Macaca fascicularis: one gene and its partners. The protein of the gene in region 1 purifies or fractionates together with the protein of each later gene. This does not show direct contact. Links are inferred from orthologs where the notes say so. Each region holds a gene or a part of one and is shown on either strand. Other genes may lie near its edges.

Region 1 (5,824 bases):
ACTGGATTAAGAAAATGTGGCACATATACACCATGGAATACTATGCAGCCATAAAAAAGGATGAGTTCCTGTCCTTTGTAGGGACATGGATGCAGCTGGAAACCATCATTCTCAGCAAACTATCGCAAGATCAGAAAACCAAACACTGCATGTTCTCACTCATAGGTGGGAACTGAACAATGAGATCACTTGGACACAGGAAGGGGAATATCACACACTGGGTCCTATTGTGGGGAGGGATAGCATTAGGAGATATACCTAATGTAAATGATGAGTTAATGGGTGCAGTACACCTGCATGGCACATGTATACATACGTAACAAACCTGCACATTGTGCACATGTACCCTAGAACTTAAAGTATAATAATAATAAAAAAAAGATAAGCAAAAATAAAATCAATAAAGTTATAACAGACCTGAAAAAAAAAAATTCAAGGAAAAAAAAAACTGGGTTTGTACTGAACATGTACAGATGTCTTCTTCTTGTCATTATTCCCTAAACAATACAGCACAACAACTATTTACACAGCACTAACATTGTACCAGGTATTATAATCTAGAGATTATAACCTAGGTATTATAATCACAGAGATGACTTAAAATATATGGGAGGATATGTGTAGGTTATATGCAAATACTACACCATTTGTATGAGGGACTTGAGCATCTATGGACTTTAGTATCCAATGGAGGTCCTGGAACCAATTCCCCACTGTTATTGAGGGAATATGAATCCATGAAACAAAATCATATTTTCTAAGGCCCTAGACATTACATGAGTTTTTTTTTTTAAAGTCTGGGGCAAAAAAAAAAAAAGAAAATTAATAACAATAGTAGCAGGCAGAATCTGTATTTCATGAGTGCAAGTATTTTTTGCTGGTTTTGTCTGCTATATCCCCAACACCTAAAACAGTGCACAGGACACAGCAGCTATGCAATAAATATTTGCTGAATGATGGAAGGAAAACTATTCCTGAATGCTTACTATGTGTTCAGTACTATTCTCAGTGCTTTACACTAATGATCTCATTTAGTCATTACAACTCTGTAACAGGTATTATCATAATCCCCATGTAGAGAAAAGGACATCAAGGCACATAAAATGGTTAAGCTACTGCCCTGAATTATTTTAATAGCAATGGTGAGGTAGGGATAATAAATATAAAATCTGAATATTAAAAATCAAAGCTTTAAAACATCATGATTACACACAAAAGAAAGAAAATACCTGGAATTTGCCTGATCTTGCACTATATTTTCAGAAAAACATGAAGATCTCCAAACACATGTAAACAATATGTTCTAACTAGTACTCATTAAACTGAAACCAAAGGATTTATTGAGAATCTACTACGTGCATCACTAGCTTAGGATCTCAAGAATGAAGAAGAAGTACAGGTTAAACATCTCTAATCTCAAAATCCAAAATCTGAAATGCTCCAAAATCAGAAACTTTTTGAGTGCCAGTATAACACTCAGTGGAGACACTCATTGGAGCATTTTGGATTTCGGATACTCAGAGCAGGAACAGCCAGTATGTATTCTGCAAATGTTCCAAAATCCAAAAAAATCTGAAATCTAAAACACTTCTGGTTCCGAGCATTGCAAATAAGGTATACTCAACCTATATATGTCATAGTCCTCATACTCAAGTCTTACATATTATTTTGTTAACCAAACGTTATATATGTTAAAATTAAGTGAATTTAAAATAAATAAATATTTACACTTTCCAGAAAGTATTTCATTGAATCTTCAGTATTTGTATTCCAGGACACACTTATCTGAGGAAAATAAAAGTAATTTACCTGGTTTAGTAAGTAAAGAATTTTCGTAAGAATATGCAAACATCTTCTTGGATTGATTGGAGTTTCATTGAATATACGAGCCTATGAAAAAACATAAAAAACACTGTTATTTTTCTACCTTTTCTATCATAGATTATAGCAAATCAACTTTAATACAGACTATTTTTAATCACAGTATCCAAAGAACATGGTCTATAGTTCTCAATTTACTAAAGCATCTGATAAATTATTACATGTGGCCCTGATTTTCCATCCTATTTATTTCTAACTCATTCCCTTAGGTTGACTACTTCAACTTTACGGGCTATACCAGTTAAATAAGGATCACAATACTGATCTGTATCATACTAATACAATGACATTAATACAGATAACTGATTTCAATAACCTTGCACTAAACACCCCTTCTTATATTTAAAATTCCCAACCTGTAACAGTCTTCATGTCTTTGCATTTCTATAAGCTCTAAATTCTCGTGTGACAAGTAACCCCTCTTCCTTTTCCCTTAAATCTATATTCCCTAAACTCTGTTACGTTCCTTATTTTGGGTGTTGTGATCACAGTAGCCCAGGAATTCGCTGCCCACCACTCTAAAACAGAATAGAAAAGAAAAGGCACAAAATGCTTCCCAGTCATACCTCCTGTAAAACAGCACTCTTCTCCAGATGCTGGAAAGGATTTGAGCCACTACCTATGTATAAAACAAAAAAATGTCCTGAATAGCTGTTTTACACAAACTTATGTATTTTCCAGAGAAGGGTACTGAATGCTTGGTAAGTGAACACTTGGATGGCACAGTGATAATCATTGCTAATATGCATACAAACTAAATGAAATCATTCTGATCCTGGCTCCGTCACTGCCACACTCGAAGAGCTGAGACTTCTCTTTTGCAGCAACCCTCTCCAAAATGAGTGTCTTCTTTCCCTGCCCTCTTTTTCCATGAATGTTACAAATGTGTCATTTCCACAACGAAGATTAATGAGATTGTGGTAGGGTGCTTCTGATTTCCTTAGGTAAGCACTAGTTTGTGTGTTTCTAACACTTAAGGAGAGGCAGAAACGAAGTTTCCCAGAGAATCACGCAGACGTAAACCTTCAAGAGGTCGTGGAGGTTGATTAACCCAACCCCCTCTCACACCGTGGGAGATGCTACCAAACACTGGGATTTTTTTCTTTTTGAGGATGCTTGGCATCTTCCCCATTTGCTCTGGACCAAAGACGGGTATCAAAACGCAGGTCACTTCTGGACGCCTGAGCATTCAACGAGCTGTGTCCCAAGGCACAGTCTTACCCCCGGGGAACCGGACAGAGCCTGGGGTCCCAGGAAAACGATAAGGTACCAGGCACCTGAATGTTCCTCCACACACACACCCTGTGCCGTCGACCCCAGCCCCGGGAACAGGGTGCTCCCACTCGGGGTCCGACCCTACCAGTACCCCTGGCCGCGGAGACGCGCGCACGCTCTCGCCCCCGCCGGGGGCCCGCGCGAAGGGGCGGAGGCGGCTCGGAGCGGATGCGCCGCAGCAGGAGCGGGGCGCGCGCGGGCGCCGGGGCGGGAGCGCGCGGCCCGAAGGGAGGCTCCGGCGCCTGGGGGAGGGGCTACGGGCAGGCCCCCGGCGGCCGCGAGGGGAGGGGAGGGGCCGGCTCCAGCTCCGGCCCCCTGGCACGCCGGCGCCCACGCCCCCAGCCCCGCCGGCCCGAAAGCAGGTGGCGGCGGGCGGGGGAAGGGGCGTCCCGCGGCTGAGGGTGGGCCTCGGAAGCCCCGCGCGTACCAGACTCCTCGTCCTTCTTGTCGAATTTTTTAATCATCTTGGACGACTTCCCAACGCCCAGACCCACCGCAACCGTCCCAGGCGCCGCAGCCGGAGAGCGGAAGAGGCTGCAGGAAGGCCGGCCCCGCGCTCTCACGCCGGTTGGGCCGCCGCGCCGTCACTCGGGGCCAAGGCCCGCCCTCCCCGGCCTCCCTCGTCCCCCGGGGACGCAACCACGCCCTCTCCTGCTTCCGCAGCCGCCGGAGGCTTGGGCCAGACCCTCCCGGCCCGTGACCCGGGAGCCCACGCCCGCAGCAGCAGGAATGTGGTTTTATTTGGTTGGCGACCTCTGCGGACCCCTCAGTCTCAGGAGAGCGAGGCGGGAGGACTGAGGGTTCTGTGTTCACCCGATGACCGTGGCCTTTTTGATAATCCACTGCGGGGCCCTCCCGTTGCGGAAGGCGCTCTCCCCGGGCGCGGTTCTGGTGGGCATCTCTTCCAGGAGCGATGCGAGTGTCAGTGGTTCCCGAATCACCTTGGAAATCGGCCTTTCACTCGCTGACTTCTTGGAAGCTACGACAAAGCACAGGCACCCTGGTGAACGTGGCTTTTCAGAAGTACTCGAAGGATGCTTAATGTGAGATATGAAGGAGACCCACTTGAAGGGACCTTTAAAGGCTGGTCTTTAAAGATTTCGGACCGTGTAATACCATTCCCAACCTATTTTATAGTTTTTGGATTCCTTCATTTCATCAAAACCCAGTGTAAAACACACTGCCTGTTTAGAGCCTTCTTTGTTCAAGCCTACTTCTTCCAGTGATTCCGTCTGACACCATATTGACACTTAAGAAACTCTCTAAATTAACGTGCATTCATTCCTAACTCATGTTCCTCTTTCTGAGTGTATGCTGGCTTTCTGTTCTCTTGTCTAAGAGCGTGGCTAAGAAACTTTGCCTTTGGCTTCAGTGGCATTACTGTTTAGAAATGTAAATTGAGTCTATACTCAACAGGATCGTGCCCCTGCAAAATTAGAGAAATTCTAACCTAGATTACATTCTACATCCTAGGGAAATTCTTTCCCTTAAATATAGATTTAAGATGAACTGTTGATATCCTACATATGGTATCATTTAAGATTTACCTCCGGCTTGGCTAAATGTACTATTATTAACTACTATGTTTGCTTTATATGGCTTGTAAAGTTCAAGTTATACTTTGTAGGTGGAGTTTTCCTTGAAGGAAATAGAAGTCTGCACGCATTTATTCTGGAGGTGAAAATAAATAGGCTTTGGGGAAGGAAACATCCTCTTCCTCTTCCTTGGCCCAAGAGTATTGGGAACCTAGGCAGACACAGTGTAGATAATAGGCCCAGAGGTTCCCAAGAATGGGTAATGCCCCGGAGACCTGCTGGGAAGTAGAAGGACCTGAGTTCACATTTGAAGCTGACCCTAAGACTAGCCCCTTGTAAAGCAAGATAAATCATTCTCTGCTGTTCTTCAGCTTTTCTGTGTATCTATGAAGTTTTGTTTAATACCACAGGTTGGTTTTAGCTGTGCAGTGTTTACGGAATTAAGAGCAGCAGTAGGTGAAAATGGGGTGGGGTGTGGTGGCAAATAGGTATAGCAGGAGCAGAGAAGCCTGAAGAAGCCAGTTAAGGGATGGTATAATATGACTCCAGGTCTCTGGTATCAGGACTATTTGGACTGAGGATGGCTGGCAAAGGGGTTGAGCAATCACTACAATGGCTTTGTGGGAAAGGCAAGGATACTTTAGGGAGTCTCCGAAATTGCTTGAGGAGAGAAAGCTAGTAGGAGAAATGAACCTTGTCTTAAAACCATGAGCTGGTGAAGTCTGAGGACCCACCAATTATGTATCTAATCACAAATGTGTACTCAGTGCCCTGAAATTCTTCATTGGGTCCAAACTGCCTACTGAATAAAATCCAAACCCTTATTTAAATAATAAATTTAAGGCATTGTGGTATTTTTGATATTTTGTTATTGTTATTTTTGTTATTTATGTTTTGTTATTGTTGTTCGTTTTTCAGACAGGGTCTACTCTGTTACCCAGGCTGGAGTGCAATGGTACAATCACAGCTAACTGCAACCTTAAACTCCTTGGCTCAAGCGATCCTCCTTCCTCCAGCCCCCCAAGTAGCTCAGACTACAGGTGCATGCCACCACACCCTGTTAATTTTTTAAAATTAATTTTTGTAGAGACAGGATCTCACTATGTTGCTCAGGCTAGTGTCAAGCCCCTGGC
Region 2 (5,226 bases), on another chromosome or scaffold:
CTGTAATCTCAACACTGGATATATATATATATATATGTAATTTTTTTGCCAAAAAGACACATGGGCTAGTATGTTCATCACAGCACTATTCACCACAGTAAAGACATGGAATCAACATAGGTGGCCATCAACAGCGGACTGAAAAAAACAATGTGGCACATATACACCATGGAATACTATACAGCCAGGTGAAAGAACAAAATCATGTCCTTTGCAGACACATGAATATAGCAAGTTGCCATAATCCTATGCAGATTAGTGCAGGAACAGAAAACCAAACACCACATGATCTCACTTATAAGTGTGAGCTAAACACTGGGTACTCATGGACATAAAGATGGCAACAACACACACTACGGACTACTAGAGGGGCTAGAAAGGGTTTAAAAAATAACTGTTGGGTACTATGCTCAGTACCTGAGTGACAGGATCAATCGTACCCCAAATCTCAGCACCATGCAAATACACCCAGGTAAAACAACATTCACATGTACTCCCTGAATCTAAAATAAAAGTTGAAATTTTAAAAATGTATTAATTAATTAAAGGCCATGGATGTAGACTAAAGGGAAAGTCACAATTTTTTAATCACCTCTCCACTGTATACATTGTTGAATGTATGCAAACACCGAAATAATTTTCTTAATTATTGGTTTCTTTGAGTACCTTTCTATGCCTTTAGAGATTGTGTTTTAGGTCTTTAAAAACATATTATTAAAATGCCAAACAGCCAATAGATAATACCAGTCTTCCTGAAGTTAACAGAAAGGAAACCAGTATATATATTAATATTCAGAAAGTATTACACATGCCAATCAATGACCAAACTACCCATAATTTTTAAAAATTACAACACTTTTCCTTTATTACTGTGAAAATCCTATGACAAAATAAACAATGAATTTGGGGGGAAGTCAAGATATAGCATGAGATGTTATCAAGAAAAACAATACCTGTGGTAGTAATTTAAACACATGATGTGTCCCACTTAGGCTTCAATCTCTCTTGGAACTACATGGTTCCAAGTTATCTGGGCAGAATGGCTCCAAAGATTAAGGCATTCATTCTACTCCCTCACAATTGCTTACCAAAGGAATTCTAAAGACACATGATCTAGAGAAATAAATAGCTATTCTGGCTAAGCTTTAGATGAGGTTAGCATCCTAATTAGACAGAATAGTAACATTTATTCAGGAAAGGATCTTAGAGATAATCTAACAAAAAACGAATCCCATATGAGGAAACCAAGGTGTTAAAAGTCTAAAGGCCTACTAAGTTCAAGATTTGTATTCAGAGGTGCATATATTTATAAACTCTGTGGAAAATATTTTTCAATTATACACTACATTAATATTTTCAAATATTTTTCAAATAATTCATTTTTTAAGGCATCCAAAAATATTAAACCTAGGTTGCTCTGCTTATGGAGTAGCCATTCTTTTATTTCCTTACTTTCTTAATCAATGTGATTTCACTTAAAAATAAAAAGGTAAAACCAATTTTTTTAAATAATTAACTTGTTTAACAAAAAAGGTAGATTCAAAGAAAAATATGTATAAGTATTAAATATTGTAAAAATCTCTGTTAAGTAAAATATACTATTCTCTGGCTATGAACATCAGAAATATGAACAGTAATTATTACAGAGGAATGTTCTCTTGAATAGTTTTTAAAGAATGTCTGTTCTTTATTTACAAATATAAATTTCTTCTGAAATTTCTTGTTAGTCTTATCTTTTTTTTTTTTTTTGAGACAGAGTCTCACTGTCGCCCAAGCTGGACTGCAATGGCACAATCTCGGCTCACGGCAACCTCTGCCTCCTGGGTTCAAGCGATTCTCCTGCCTCAGCCTCCCAAGTAGCTGGCACTACAGTTGCCTGGGACTGTGCCCAAATTTTTTTTTTGTACTTTTAGTAGAGATGGGGTTTCATCGTGTTAGCCAGAATGGTCTCGATCTCCCGACCTTGTGATCCGCCCGCCTAGGCCTCCCAAAGTGCTGGGATTACAGGCGTGAGCCACTGTGTCTGGCCAGTCTTTTCATGCTAAAACATAACCTTCATGCATTCATTCAACATTGATAAAATTATGTGATTCTGCCCTCAAGGAACTTACTTTCAGTTTAGTATAAAAGGTAAGAACAGGTAGGTTAGCTTAATTTATTTTTAAAAATTAGTATCTTCAATATTACACTATTAATACCATCAATACTAATAGCAAATAGACATTATTTATTTATTTGATAACTATTTATTAAGCATCTAATCAAGAAAGCTAATAAACGATTTTTAAAAAAACATTTTGGTAATAACAAAATGATCAAATTAAACCAGTTCATTCACACTATTACGGTGGTATACGTTCCAAAAGACTTCTGGAAAATATATGAGAAAATAAAGAAAAAATTATGCATTTATCTTGCCCGTGTAGAACTATTAACTGGGAAAACAAAAGACAAATATATGTTTACGCAAATACAAACAAGTACTTTTAAGAATAAAAATTACCTTTGATTTTCTCTGACATGTCTTCATCCATATTTTCTTCAAGATCTTGACCAGCCTGAACAAATGTGAAAGACTTGTAGGATACAATCATTAGACCATTTCCATCGGGCTCAATAGCAGCATAATGTGGCACTGACTTTCCACAGAGAATATCACGCTTAATAATTTCATATTTTTTCTTATCTGTAAGAAAAAGTATTTTAGAACAAAACATTACAAATAAAAACTATTATCAAAACATTCTGATACTTAAATATTGATTTTAATTATAATTAAATACTTTTAATGTACTATTAAAAGGTATACTATTAAGAGTCTTTTCATAAGGTAAACAATTTACAACCTAATTTTCTGTAAATAAGTCCCTATTTTAAAATGCTGGGTCTGGTGAAATTTATTCCTGATTGTCCTGTCCAATGTGGTAGTCACTGGCCACAAGTGGCTACTTAAAATTAAGTAAAATTTAAATTCCTCAGTCACACTAGCCACATTTTAATTGCTCAACAGCTACACATGGCTAGTAGTTACTGCAGTGAATGGTACACATATAAGACATGTCCATCTTGGAGAAATCTCTATTAGACAGCAGTGCCCCAGAACTCCAACATGACTGGCTTACTTGGAATAACAACTTCTGTATGACCTACCTCTCCTTGACTAAAGCCTGTCTGCCTTCTCAGCAGGTATGTGATAAGCATCTTCTGAAAAGTCACAAATTGAGGACAAGGGGAAACATGCAGTGTGGACTATTTTTCTGCCTGCTCTAACTCCTGATAAGGGGCATTTTAACAATGAAATAAATTTATAGCAGAAATAATTTTTTTTACCCACTCAAGACATTTATCTATATGCTTATAATTAAACATAAATTAGTGCTACTTTTAAGATATAAACAATTAACTGTATTCCAAAAGTTTCTGACAAATTGAATTTATTTTCCTATAAAGACAGTAATTTTTTGCTTTAAAAAGTACTCAAATATTTTAGCTGACTCCATACTTTTACCTATACTGTTACTCTTTAAAGTGGGTTGTACTTGTAGGCTTCATACTGAGTAGTCAAACATCACAACTCAATGTCATATTATTATGAGTTTTTACATAATAATACCATCTGTTCTAAAATATCTCATTGGTTTTACTCAAAATCCTCACCTACATTCACACATTCAATTCACACATATTTAAGGACAGGCTTGTAATTTAATGAATGAACAAAACTCCTACACTTCCCCTATAGATACAAGCAGGGCCAAAAGTCCTACTCGACTTTAAAGATCCAAACACAGACATTACATATTTCTAGGGTGGCCTTTCCCAACATGCATGGGACAGAAAGGAATAGGAATTCTAAAACACTGGATTCCATGGTTAAATATGTGGAGAAATGCTAGGTTAAAATTAAGCATAAATTTTTTTGTTTGTTTGAGACAGGGCCTTGCTCTGTTGCCCAAGCTAAAATGCAGTGGCACGATCACAGCTCACTGTAGCCTCAAACTCTCAGGCTCAAGCAATCCTCCCACCTCAGCATCCAGAGTAGCTGGGACTATAGGTGCACACCACCATGCCGAGCTAATGTTTTTGTAATTTTTGTACAGACAGGGCCTCACTATGTTGCCCAGACTGATCTCAAACTCCTGGGCTCAAGTGATCTGCCTGCTTTGACCTCCCAAAGTGCTGAGATTATAGGTATGAGCCTCTGCATCTAGCCTAAATTTTTTTTACTCACAATTTTTAGCAACTTTAATATGCTTAATATGTAATGGAGTTATTTTATGCCCACATTTTCAAACTTATGTGACCATAAATATAATTTATGAAATGTTTCATTCAAAATAGTTTACAAAAACACAGTTCTGTTAATTAAAAAGAAAAAGAAAAAGAAAAAAATCATATTAGTAATAGTCTGGGAGAGAAGGAACAAGATATAAAAGAAAGATAAAGGGAACAATAAAGAGAATTAATGATTCTACAACTACAATCTTGGGAGAAAAAAGGTTAGTCTCAATGTATCTGTCCAGTTGAGGCAAAGAAATGAAGACAAAGGGGATGGAGAAGATAGAGCTGGAGCAGAGTACTGCTATGTTTTGAGGCAATTTGATGAGTTACCACAGACTGAGAAAAAGATGTTACAGAAGCAAGTGTCTTGGAGAAAGGAGGAGGAATATGCATGACAGTGTCTCCTGTAAGATTCTGAATTATATACCTTAAAAAAATTAAGGTTTCCATTATCCAAAGCAGGGGTTCTGCAAACTAGGACCCTTGAGTCAAAGCTGAATCTAGGTCTACTTTTGTATGGCCTATGAGCTAAGCATGAATTTTATATTTTTAAATTGTTAAAATGGTAATATTTAAAGAATATTTAAATATATGTCAAAAAAACATAAAATTCAAATTTCAATGTCCATAAAGTATGATTGGAACACAGCTATACTCATTCATTTATATATTGTCTATGGCTGCTTTTGCACTGTGTCGGCATACTTGGATAGCTGTGACATAGATCTTATGGTTACCAACTGGGACTTCAAAAAAGTTTTCTAATATCTAATTTAAAGTTTAAAGTTACTGTGTTCCTCCAGAGATAAAACTACAACACCAAAAAGAACTAATAAATTATATTGAATACTTCAAAGAATAAATCTAGGAGACTTATTCAGTTTATTTATAAACTATTTTGAGATATCTATTAGATAGATAGATAGATAGATAGATAGATAGATA
Region 3 (5,226 bases), on another chromosome or scaffold:
CAGCACTTTAGGAGGCTGAGGTGGAAGGATCACTTGAGCCCAGGAGCTCAAGACCAATCTGGGCAACACAGCAAGACCTTGCCTCTACAAAAAAGGAAAAAGTAAAAAGTTAGCCGGGCGTGAAGGCACACGCATGTAGTCCTAACAACTCAGGAGGCTGAGGCAGGAGGATCGCTTTAGCCCAGAAGTTTGAGGTTACAGTAAGCTGTGATCATGACACTGCACTCCAGCCTAGGCAACACAGACCATAACTCAAAAATATATAAATAAATAAAAATGAAGATATATTTAAAGGAGAAAATTACTGCCTAAAAATTTAAAATGTAGAAAATTGTTAAAAATTACCACAGCACAGAATTAAGCTTTATCTTTACAAATATTTACTGAGTGCCTACCATATGGGAGGCCCTGTGGGGAGTATAAATATGTGTAACAAATGTTTATCAATTACTGTATAAAATAAACTTTACTGGAACTGAAGATAAGACAATTCTTGCTCTCAAGATAAACCTAATTTAGTAAAACAAAAGTTTACAACTAATTTCAAAGTTAATCTATGTCAAAAGCAAGGAAAATCCAAAGGCAAAATAACTAAGGTCAAAACCCTAAGATATTCAGACACATAACATTTTACATAAAGGAAAACTAGTAACAGTGTTTTATATAGGTGAAAGCAAGCGTGTAAGCAAAAGTTAATTTATTTTAATTCAATGCATATGGAAATATTTTATTTTATTTATTTATTTATTTATTTTTAGATGGAGTCTCGCTCTGTCGCCCAGGCTGGAGTGCAGGGGCGTGATCTTGGCTCACTGCAAGCTCCGCCTCCCAGGTTCAAGGCATTTTCCTGCCGCAGCCTCCTGAGTAGCTGGGACTACAGGCGCCCACCACCACGACCAACTAATTTTTTGAATTTTAGTAGAGACAGGGTTTCACCATGTTAGCCAGGATGGTCTTGATCTCCTGACCTTGTGATCAGCCCGTCTTGGCCTCCCAAAGTGCTGGGATTACAGGCGTGAGCCACCACGCCCAGCATGGAAATATTTTAAATATTATGATTTAAAAAGGGAGCATGATTGCCCTCATTGCAACATGTATTAAGCACCTAGATCAGGTAAGGCACTTTGCTGTTTGCTACTGAATGTTTGGGGAAAGGGAGTGACACATAGTTTCTACCCCCAAAATTCAGTATTTCAGGGGATAAAGATTTTCAAAAACATGTAATTAAAATTCATTCTGAGAAAGGCTGAAACAGAGGCAAAAAGCAATGGAAGAAATGGGATAAGCATAACTGGCTCTGCCTAGAGATGAAGTGGATGTCTGACAAGAGCTTCTCAAGAGTAAATATTTGTGCTAAGCCTTAAAAGCTGAGTAGTTCTCCGGAGGAAAAAAATATCAAAACAGGAAAATAAAGAGAAGTGCAGGCAGATGGAAAAGTTCAATGAAGTAAGGTTTTGTGAACATTCATGGCCTCTAGAGGATGGTGAGTAGACCAGGGTTTTAGGAGATGTCGCATAATATTAGCCCAGGCTAGTCTTGGAAATCCTTGTATTCCACACTAAGGCATTTGGACTTTATCCTTAGATCAGGAACTGACAAGATGCAATCTATGTTTCAGGAAGATAACAGACAGCAATGTGGTGAAATGGAGTAAGAAAGACAGAATAGAGGCATATGGAATTTAAATGTAAAATAGATGAACGATGAGCAGAAGTCAACAATGAATACTGAAAGGAGAGGAAAGTAGTATCCTAGAAAGGATACTGGCATTTTTCTTATTCTGGGTTTCCAAAGGCTAAAAAATTTTTATAACATGCTGCTTCCACACAGAAAAACACTCCTCATTAAGAGCACTGAGTTGCCACAATATTTTTCAAAACAGAACATGTCCTTTGGATTAAAATGAGAAATCCTATTTTTACTTCAAAATAGACTTTTGAAAAAAACTTTTAAGATGGATCAATTTCTGGCCAGTCAATAGTAAAACACCTAAGGCAAGTATAGTTCACTAATAATGATAACTGACACAAACTGTGGACACCCTACCTTGATAGTCCTGTCCAAAGAGGCACTGGCAAACTGATTGTTATCTTTGGGGTTGATCACAATCTGCATAACATAATGGGTGTGTCCTTCAAACACTTGTGAGCAAGACCATTTTTTATCCCAGTCCCAGAGCTTAATAAGCATGTCATCTAGGCCAAAAGAAAGTCTCAAGTTAGTTGTGATTTCTATTTTTTCACTTCATAAGTAAGACACAGTCTTTAGGGGAAGCAAACCTAACATAAACCACATAATCCATGACTTACAGAAATAGAATCAAAACCAAATAGCGTTTTCAAAATGCTTATTTATCTTAAAAATAAATTTAACTCTCTACAGAAAAGTGGAGATAAAATAAATAAAATAGATTAGAAATAGCAAATATAAAAATTTTGTGAAAAAACTTAAAAATTCAGTGAGCATTAAAGAATGAGCAAAGAGTCATACAAGTTTGATTAGAATCTAAGCGTGACTGAATACTGATAGCAATGACTATGTAGAGAACAAGCATTTGCCCTCACAAGACTGGTTTTTAAAAAGTTTTAAATTACTTCTCAATTTTTAATTTAAACACATTTCAAAGAGCTATTACCAATTCAGTGCTACCTCTTTTGCCAGTCCTCCAAGAGGTCTACTATTTATACACAATACCAAGGAGCAAACTAGTTTGAATATGAAGATTGAACTGACTAGGCTCTATGGCAATCTGCCAAAAACTCACTCATCAACATGTAAATGACCTTTCTGTTCAGCAGATGTTTAAACATCTAGACTTGTAGGTCTTCTCTGACAGGAATTGGAGCAATCATTACACAGATCCTAAGTACAGTTGATACTTCATTAAAGTACAAACACAAGCAGCATCAATAGCACAGTAATGGATCTAAACAGTTTAAAGGCTGCTTGGAATTAGAATTCTATTTGTAACAGCAGTTAAAGAATAGCATGTCTCAGTGAATGAAAATGAATTACCCAAAGAGACGCACATGACCAAAATAGGTCATCTCTTACCACTGCTAGTTAGAATGAAAGGCTGGGTTGGATGAACAGCAATACAGCGAATGTAGTCTGAGTGTGCTTCAAACATATGAACTCTCTCCAGAGTATTGTAATTGAACACTCTAATCTGCATGTCATCCTAGAAACAGAAATTTTAAAACTATCATCCCTATTATCAAGTAAATTATACAAAAAAACTGCATCACAGGCTCAAGGAATGAAGTCTATGCTTCAAAACAGTGCTGTAACTAACAAAACAAACCAGGAATCGAAATCCTGCAACTAACTTACATAATCATTCACCAATTCAGAAAACGGGAATAGAGATTCATATTAATTACTTACTGCTCCTGTCACAACCCAATTCTTCCTTGCAACAAACTTTGCAGCTCGAACAGGAAGATCACATACTTCAAATGTCTTCACCAGTGTCTTTAAAATGTAAAAAGAATACACAAATTGAGCTGTAAGAAAATAACCACAAAATCTACTCTGTTATATTTCAAACATCCAATTTTTAAGATCACTTCTCATTTTAATATATTTTCAGGCTAAAATATAAAAGGTCAACACTAAAATTTTTTAAAAAGACAAATTATCTTTTAATAGATTCAAAATTAAAACACTTTTTAAAAGACAAGAGAAAGCAAATGTCCACAAGATGGTATTCCAGATCCTCTGTGCTCCAGCCCTTCCCTCTCTTTTCTAGCCTCACCTTTGGCTACTCCCAGCCTTACCTCTGCTCTTGTTCTCTCTGCCTTGAAAATCCACCCATGGAAACTTGTACTTCCCTTTCATAATGTAGCACCTCATAATTATGTTTGTGCGAATCTTTCCTGCCAAGCTCTCCAAAGGCAGGAATATTTTTCACACTGTATAGACAGAAGCTAGAACAGTGGCTGGCACACTAAATTAGTGTGTAATAAGTATTTGTTGAATGAATTAGCTCTTAGTTTTTCTTTTTTTCTTTTTTTTTGAGACAGTCTCACTCTGTCACCCAGGCTGAAGTGCAATACAGTGGCACAATCTTGGCTCACTGCAACCATCGCCTCCCAGGTTCAAGTGATTCTTATGCTTCAGTTACCCAAGTAGCTGGGATTACAGGTATGCGCCACCATGCCAAGCAAATTTTTGTATTTTTCGTACAGACAGGGTTTCACCATGTTGGCCAGGGTGGTTTCGACCTCCTGGCCTCAAGTGATCCACCTGTCTCAGCCTCCCAAGTGCTGGGGTTACAGGCGTGAGCCACCACACCTAGTCAGTTTTTTTGAAATTGAAACCCATAAAAGTGACTCATGAATAAGGTACAATTCTTTTGCATGCTTTAGCAATATGATTCCATACAAATGTTATTATTTATTTTTTTTTTTAAATGAAAACACAGTGACCTGTATTTTCCTCTGAGCTACTCAGAATGGAATTATACACACAGGATAAAGGTAGAAAACTAGAAGACCCTCCTAGAAAAAGCAGAGATAATGGTATACCTCTATGTTCTCCTTCTTTGATGCCTGTTCTTAAAAGTCTGAAAGCCAAACTATCATTTTCCAATCCTTTTTTGTATCAGAGAGCAAAAAAGAAATAACTAAGAAACCAATATAATCTTACTGCTTGATTAACCATGTGCACTAAAAAAGTAATAGGGACCGGTTCATAAGAACTGTCCCACTCTGATTTTTCAAGCCAGAGTTCAAAGATTCTTTAGACAAAGGCTGAATGAGTAGGCACTTCAACTCCAACCTGCAGAATCACTACCAGCTGACTAAAATACAGACACTGAGAGTAGACAGAACATGCAATCTGTAATGCAGCAGAAAAATCCACAAAAGCTCATGAGGAGCCAACAAACTCAGGGATCTAAGCAGTAAAAATAAAGCAGCTGCAGAGCAAATAGCCAAGGCTCAGCGCCATGTTAGGGGCTATGACTGATGCAAATGAAGAGTAAGAAAAGCTACACATGCGATACATACAAATGTTCAATGTAGATTAGGAAAGTATAACTAATGACTAATACTTATATGGTACTTAGGTTTCATATACAATTTTATCTAATTTTATCTTTTTGACAATCCTGTGACATAGGGAAGGCAATAATATCATCTTTACTTTAGATAAATAAAGAGGGTCAGCATAGTTAAAAGGCTAACCTATATAATTTAATCAGCAAGTTGGCTTCAAATCCTA
Region 4 (5,226 bases), on another chromosome or scaffold:
TGAGCCAAGACTGCACCACTGCAATCCAGCCTGGGAGACAGAACAAGAACCCTGTCTCAATTTTTTTTTTTTTTTTTTTTTTGAGAGTCTCACTCTTGTCGCCCAGGCTGGAGTGCAATGGCGCAATCTCAGCTCACTGCAACCTCCACCTCCCAGGTTCAAGCAATTCTCCTGCCTCAGCCTCCCAAGTAGCTGGGATTACAGGCGTCCACCACCACACCCAACTAATTTTTGTTGTTGTTGTTGAGACGGAGTTTCGCTCTGTTGCCCAGGCTGGAGGGCAGTGGCGCGATCTCAGCTTACTGCAACCTCCGCCTCCCGGGTTCACGCCATTCTCCTACCTCAGCCTCCCGAGTAGCTGGGACTACAGATGCCTGCCACCACACCCAGCTAATTTTTTGTATTTTTAGTAGACATGCAGTTTCACTGTGTTAGCCAGGATGGTCTCGATCTCATGACCCCAAGTGATCCACCCGCCTTGGCCTCCCAAAGTGCTGGGATTACAGGCATGAGCCACTGCGCCCGGCCTATGTCTCAAAATTTCTTAAAAAGCATGGACTTTAAGTCAGACAGATACGGGTTTGAATCCAAGCTAAGCCATTTTCTACATGTGTGACCCTGAGAAAGTTATTAGGTTAAACTACATCAAACTGCCACTTTTGTAGTTTTCACAAGGGTCACACACAAGTAATTTCTTATGGTTCTTCATGGTTTGGTTTCCTCATTTGTAAAACAAAGGCACTAATGCCTACAACTCATGGAAGTGCTGCAAGGTTTAAATAACAATGTACTTTACAAAGCACTTATACCAATAATAAGAGCTCAGTAAGAGTTGACTTTCTCAAACTTTGACTTTTGCCTCAAATTATCTGGGGGCTTATTTTTATTTATCTATTCTCCTAGAATTTGCTACCTGAGGCAAATAGCTTTTTCTGTATATAGGAAGCAGGTTAGGACTATACCCAAGGTCTTCTCAAGTGACCCATTCAGAATGTATGGTTTCAACACGACCCAGGTTGTTAGCTAATTGGCTCAAACTCAGTCAGGTATGGACCCTTCATAGAAGGAGCAAGTATCTCCCTGCAATCTTGACCATACCTCAGAAATCCATCTTAAAAAATACTACTCGGGCCGGGCGCGATGGCTCAAGCCTGTAATCCCAGCACTTTGGGAGGCCGAGACGGGCGGATCACGAGGTCAGGAGATCGAGATCAGCCTGGCTAACACAGTGAAACCCCATCTCTACTAAAAAAATACAAAAAACTAGCCAGGTGAGGTGGCGGGCGCCTGTAGTCCCAGCTACTCAGGAGGCTGAGGCAGGAGAATGGCGTAGAACCGGGAGGCGGAGCTTGCAGTGAGCTGAGATCCGGCCACTGCACTCCAGCCTGGGCGACAGAGCAAGACTCCGTCTCAAAAAAAAAAAAAAAAAAAAAAAAAATACTACTCAGGGAAGGGTATTAAAACATATATGATGTTTCCTAATGGATATAAAAGATCAATCTAGGAAAACTTCCTTTCTAGGCGATTCATTTGCCGGGCCATGTTTGTGAGGCTGGTGGGATCTCTGACAACTTCATTAACTTGGTCAGAAGCTAGAGGAACACGGCTCTATCAGGGCCCCAAACCAGTGGCTATGTACTGCCTGTGGTTTAGAAAGTAGGATCAGAAATAGCAAAGGGGTAGTAGGGATTCTTACCTCATTTTCATAGGAGCTGCCAATCACATAGAAATAGAGATCTATACTGCTTTTGTATACCACTGTCAGGCCTTCCAAGAGGGCAATTTCACCTGGTGGGGGAAAAAAAGTAGAAAGAGTGGGTGGCCTGAGATGAGGAAGTAGGAAAGAAGGAGTTATCAGCCAGGTGCAGTGGCTCACGCCTGTAATCCCAGCACCTTGCACGCCTGTAATCCCAGTACCTTGGGAAGCTGAGCCGCGTGGATCACCTAAGGTCAGGAGTTCAAGACCAGCCTGGTCAACATGGTGAAACCCCATCTCTACTAAAAATACAAAAATTAGCCGGGCGTGGTGGTGTGCACCTGTAATCCCTGCTACTCGGGAGGCTGAGATGGGAGAACCACTTGAACCTGGGAGGCGGAGGCTGCAGTGAGCCAAGATCGTGCCACTGCACTCCAGCCTAGGTGACAGAGAAAGGCTCTATTTCAAAAAAAAAGGAAAAAAAAAAAGCTATTACCGTGAATTCCTAGTATCCAGCTGTTTTGGGCTAAGGTGAGGCCAACTGTAATGACCTCCAAAGCCAGAAGATGATCTGCACTTCTTGGGTGGTGGCAGAAGAGAAGCATAAACTTGGGGGAGTCTAAATGTATCTTCTCTAACCACCATCCTCTGTTCCTGCCCACTATACCTATTTCCCTCCTTGCATATGAGACAGGATACTAGTCGATCCTTCGGAGGTGAAAATGCAGAGCGGTCACCTTTACAGACTTCCATTTACCTGCCCTAATGGATGCGGTACAATAAGCAGAGCTGCAGTTAAATTTGTCAAGTGAGGCTCATAAATCCAGGGACTAGACAGGTAGCTAACAGCCAACCTTCCAGCATGGTATTCCCGCGTGAGGTACACTCACCTCCCCATTACATTCTGAAGAGTTTATTATACAAGGGGAGGAAGGAAAAAAAAAAAAAGGAGGCAGAGTCATTTTATCCTTTCTCCGCAGCCCTGCTACCACCCCCTTTCCACCATGGTTCCCCACAACACGGGGAGTAGTGAAAGGAAAATGACCTACTGTCAGTCCGATGGGTCTTGTTGAAAATGTTCTTCTCAAAGGCCTTTTGCTCCTTGACACTGGGGTAGGTGTCGTCATAGTACTGGTCAGAGGGAAGGAGACAGGGTTGGGTCACTACAGCTGGAAGCCAGAATGATTAGTGACTATGCTTTGCCCTGGGATCTTGGATTTCTCTCCTTCAAGGCATGGGGCAAGGGAGAAATACTGACATGGAAAAGGAAGGACTGTAGAGGCAGAGAATGGGCAGTGAGTAATCTAAGAAAAATAAATAAAAGATCCTGCCATAAGCAACCCCACCTCACATTTCTAAGACTGTCTGAAGGCAGAAGCCTACCAGCCCTACGGTGAGGCTCTGTGCCTGTCTGCAATCTAGACCTCTCCTAAACCATTCTCATCAAGTGTTTCCTAGGAGCTACCCCATGTCAGGAAACAGTGCCAGAGAACACAAAAAACACTAGAAGCACAGAACACCTCCATAGACCCTCACTCACTGTATGAAGCTGAGGCATGGGGAAAGGCTACAAAAACCTCCTCCAAAGAAAGGCAAACCCTGCCCTATAGTCTATCTTAGCTTTCTTTTCTGCAAGCTGAAAGAAGCATCCAGCATACCACTGAGCCCATTCCCAGGCTCTCCCTGGCAAGGGGGCGGAGATGCAGGCTGCTAAATCGCTAGCTCTTTAGGGGCTAATCCGTTGCAGTCAGCTGAAGACCTATGACAGGTCTGGCATTTAGTAACTGGATAACTGTTTCAAAAGGTGTCCTGCATAGTTACATCCAATTACAGGGAGGAACAGCTGGTGAATTCTAAACTAATCTCTACCTGCTGATTGATTTATGCTATGCTCGCCCTGAGTTAATACACCAGGGACAGAAGAAATTTCTACAGGAGGGGGAGAATATGGAGGGAGAGAGGGGTGTCCTTTCTTCTTTCTTCCAACAGATCCAAAGTTGAAAACATCACTCTGGGAAAGTCAGGAGGTAACAAGCTTGATGGTGACTATAGACCTAGGAATGGAACCTTGGAACTGCAAGAGAATTCTCTGGAAAAACCCAGGCAGGGTGACATGGTAGAAGAGAAGGGGACAGGAATGATGGACATGGGCAGACTGCCTCTTAGCATCTACATACTGCTTTGTTAGGAACCAAGGTATCAAAGCTTTTTCCTAATCTGATGCTGACAACAAAGGAGGTCAAAGTCTGAGGACAGTAAGCAGGGCAGCAGTACAACAAAGGGACAAAAGAAAACAGGTTTTATCTGGAGTAGGCAAGATAAGATGGAAGAATTCAGGCTGAGTATGGTGGCTCACACCTGTAATCCCAACACTTTGGGAGGCCGAGGCGGGCGGATCATGAGGTCAGGAGTTCAAGACCAGTCTGGCCAACATGGCGAAACCCTGTCTCTACTAAAGATACAAAAAATTAGCCGGGTGTGGTAGTGTGTGCCTGTAATCCCAGCTACTCAGGAGGCTGAGGCAGGAGAATTGCTTGAACCCAGGAGGCAGAGGTTGCAGTGAGCCAAGGTTGTGCCACTGCACTCCAGGCTGGGCGCCAAGTGCGAAACTCCATCTCAAAAAAAAAAAAAAAAAAGGCCGGGCGCGGTGGCTCACGCTTGTAATCCCAGCACTTGGGGAGGCCGAGGCGGGCAGATCACGAGGTCAGGAGATCGAGACCACGGTGAAATCCCGTCTCTACTAAAAATACAAAAAATTAGCCGGGCGCGGTGGTGGGCGCCTGTAGTCCCAGCTACACAGGAGGCTGAGGCAGGAGAATGGCGTGAATCCGGGAGGCGGAGCTTGCAGTGAGCCCAGGTCAAGATCGCGCCACTGCACTCCAGCCTGGGCTACAGAGCGAGACTCTGTCTCAAAAAAAAAAAAAAAAGATGGAAGTGTTCTCAAAATTATACTACTGAGCAACATGAGTTAATAGGGGATCAGTCCCAAGATTCAAATCTCAGAATAAACCTTTGTGTTGTTCCTAAACTAATTCAAAAGGGAATCTCACCTTGGCAAAAAGTCGATCTCCATCATTGTCCAGAATCAGGATGGCTTTGACAGTATACAGGGAAGGTTCCTGAAGAGATACGAACACACCTTCAGTCCTGAGGCTCCCACCACCACTGGTAAACCAGATACCTTCCCCTAGTCCCATTGGGGCTGCAAGGGGATACAGAGGTACCTCTGTAAGTCCCTTACCTCAACATGGTCAGATTTTGATATTTCCCATTGAGAAAGACCGAGGGTAAGTAAACTGAGAAAGCATTTAAACAAAGGATTCCAAAGTACCATCAGAGAAACAGTTTCTCTGACGCACAGGGGGCTTAATCAAGAGAAGTCATGCTGTTATTTCCAAATATTATGGTACAGTTATTTTCCAAATTACCCTCTCCCTTCCTGCTCTCCCATGTACAGGCGGTTATAGAATGTGACCAGATTAATTAAAAGGCACTGAACAAGGCCATTTGAAAATAGGGTTGAATGTCCT

Evidence for each region.
Region 2: the proteins of COPG2 (region 1) and NUDCD1 purify together in Homo sapiens (co-immunoprecipitation; 3 studies listed by BioGRID and IntAct, with this or other methods). This does not show direct contact. The link is inferred for Macaca fascicularis from reciprocal best matches to the Homo sapiens genes COPG2 and NUDCD1.
Region 3: the proteins of COPG2 (region 1) and COPB2 fractionate together in Homo sapiens (co-fractionation; 4 studies listed by BioGRID and IntAct, with this or other methods). This does not show direct contact. The link is inferred for Macaca fascicularis from reciprocal best matches to the Homo sapiens genes COPG2 and COPB2.
Region 4: the proteins of COPG2 (region 1) and COPZ1 fractionate together in Homo sapiens (co-fractionation; 5 studies listed by BioGRID and IntAct, with this or other methods). This does not show direct contact. The link is inferred for Macaca fascicularis from reciprocal best matches to the Homo sapiens genes COPG2 and COPZ1.

What each region holds. Positions count from the first base shown.
Region 1 is NC_088377.1:172,181,785-172,187,608, forward strand, and holds the start of COPG2 (coatomer subunit gamma-2), read right to left. Parts: upstream 3,676-5,824; 5' UTR 3,621-3,675; coding exon 3,584-3,620; intron 3,361-3,583; exon of another isoform or gene 3,159-3,360; intron 2,501-3,158; coding exon 2,448-2,500; intron 1,891-2,447; coding exon 1,810-1,890; intron 1-1,809. Other genes in the region: TSGA13 (testis-specific gene 13 protein), read right to left, coding at 3,966-4,135. UniProt on the Homo sapiens protein: The coatomer is a cytosolic protein complex that binds to dilysine motifs and reversibly associates with Golgi non-clathrin-coated vesicles, which further mediate biosynthetic protein transport from the ER, via the Golgi up to the trans Golgi network.
Region 2 is NC_088382.1:118,840,405-118,845,630, forward strand, and holds part of NUDCD1 (nudC domain-containing protein 1), read right to left. Parts: intron 2,687-5,226; coding exon 2,504-2,686; intron 1-2,503.
Region 3 is NC_088376.1:42,212,678-42,217,903, forward strand, and holds part of COPB2 (coatomer subunit beta'), read right to left. Parts: intron 3,475-5,226; coding exon 3,388-3,474; intron 3,182-3,387; coding exon 3,055-3,181; intron 2,196-3,054; coding exon 2,047-2,195; intron 1-2,046. UniProt on the Homo sapiens protein: The coatomer is a cytosolic protein complex that binds to dilysine motifs and reversibly associates with Golgi non-clathrin-coated vesicles, which further mediate biosynthetic protein transport from the ER, via the Golgi up to the trans Golgi network.
Region 4 is NC_088385.1:61,190,296-61,195,521, reverse strand, and holds part of COPZ1 (coatomer subunit zeta-1), read right to left. Parts: intron 4,816-5,226; coding exon 4,747-4,815; intron 2,828-4,746; coding exon 2,746-2,827; intron 1,789-2,745; coding exon 1,697-1,788; intron 1-1,696. UniProt on the Homo sapiens protein: The coatomer is a cytosolic protein complex that binds to dilysine motifs and reversibly associates with Golgi non-clathrin-coated vesicles, which further mediate biosynthetic protein transport from the ER, via the Golgi up to the trans Golgi network.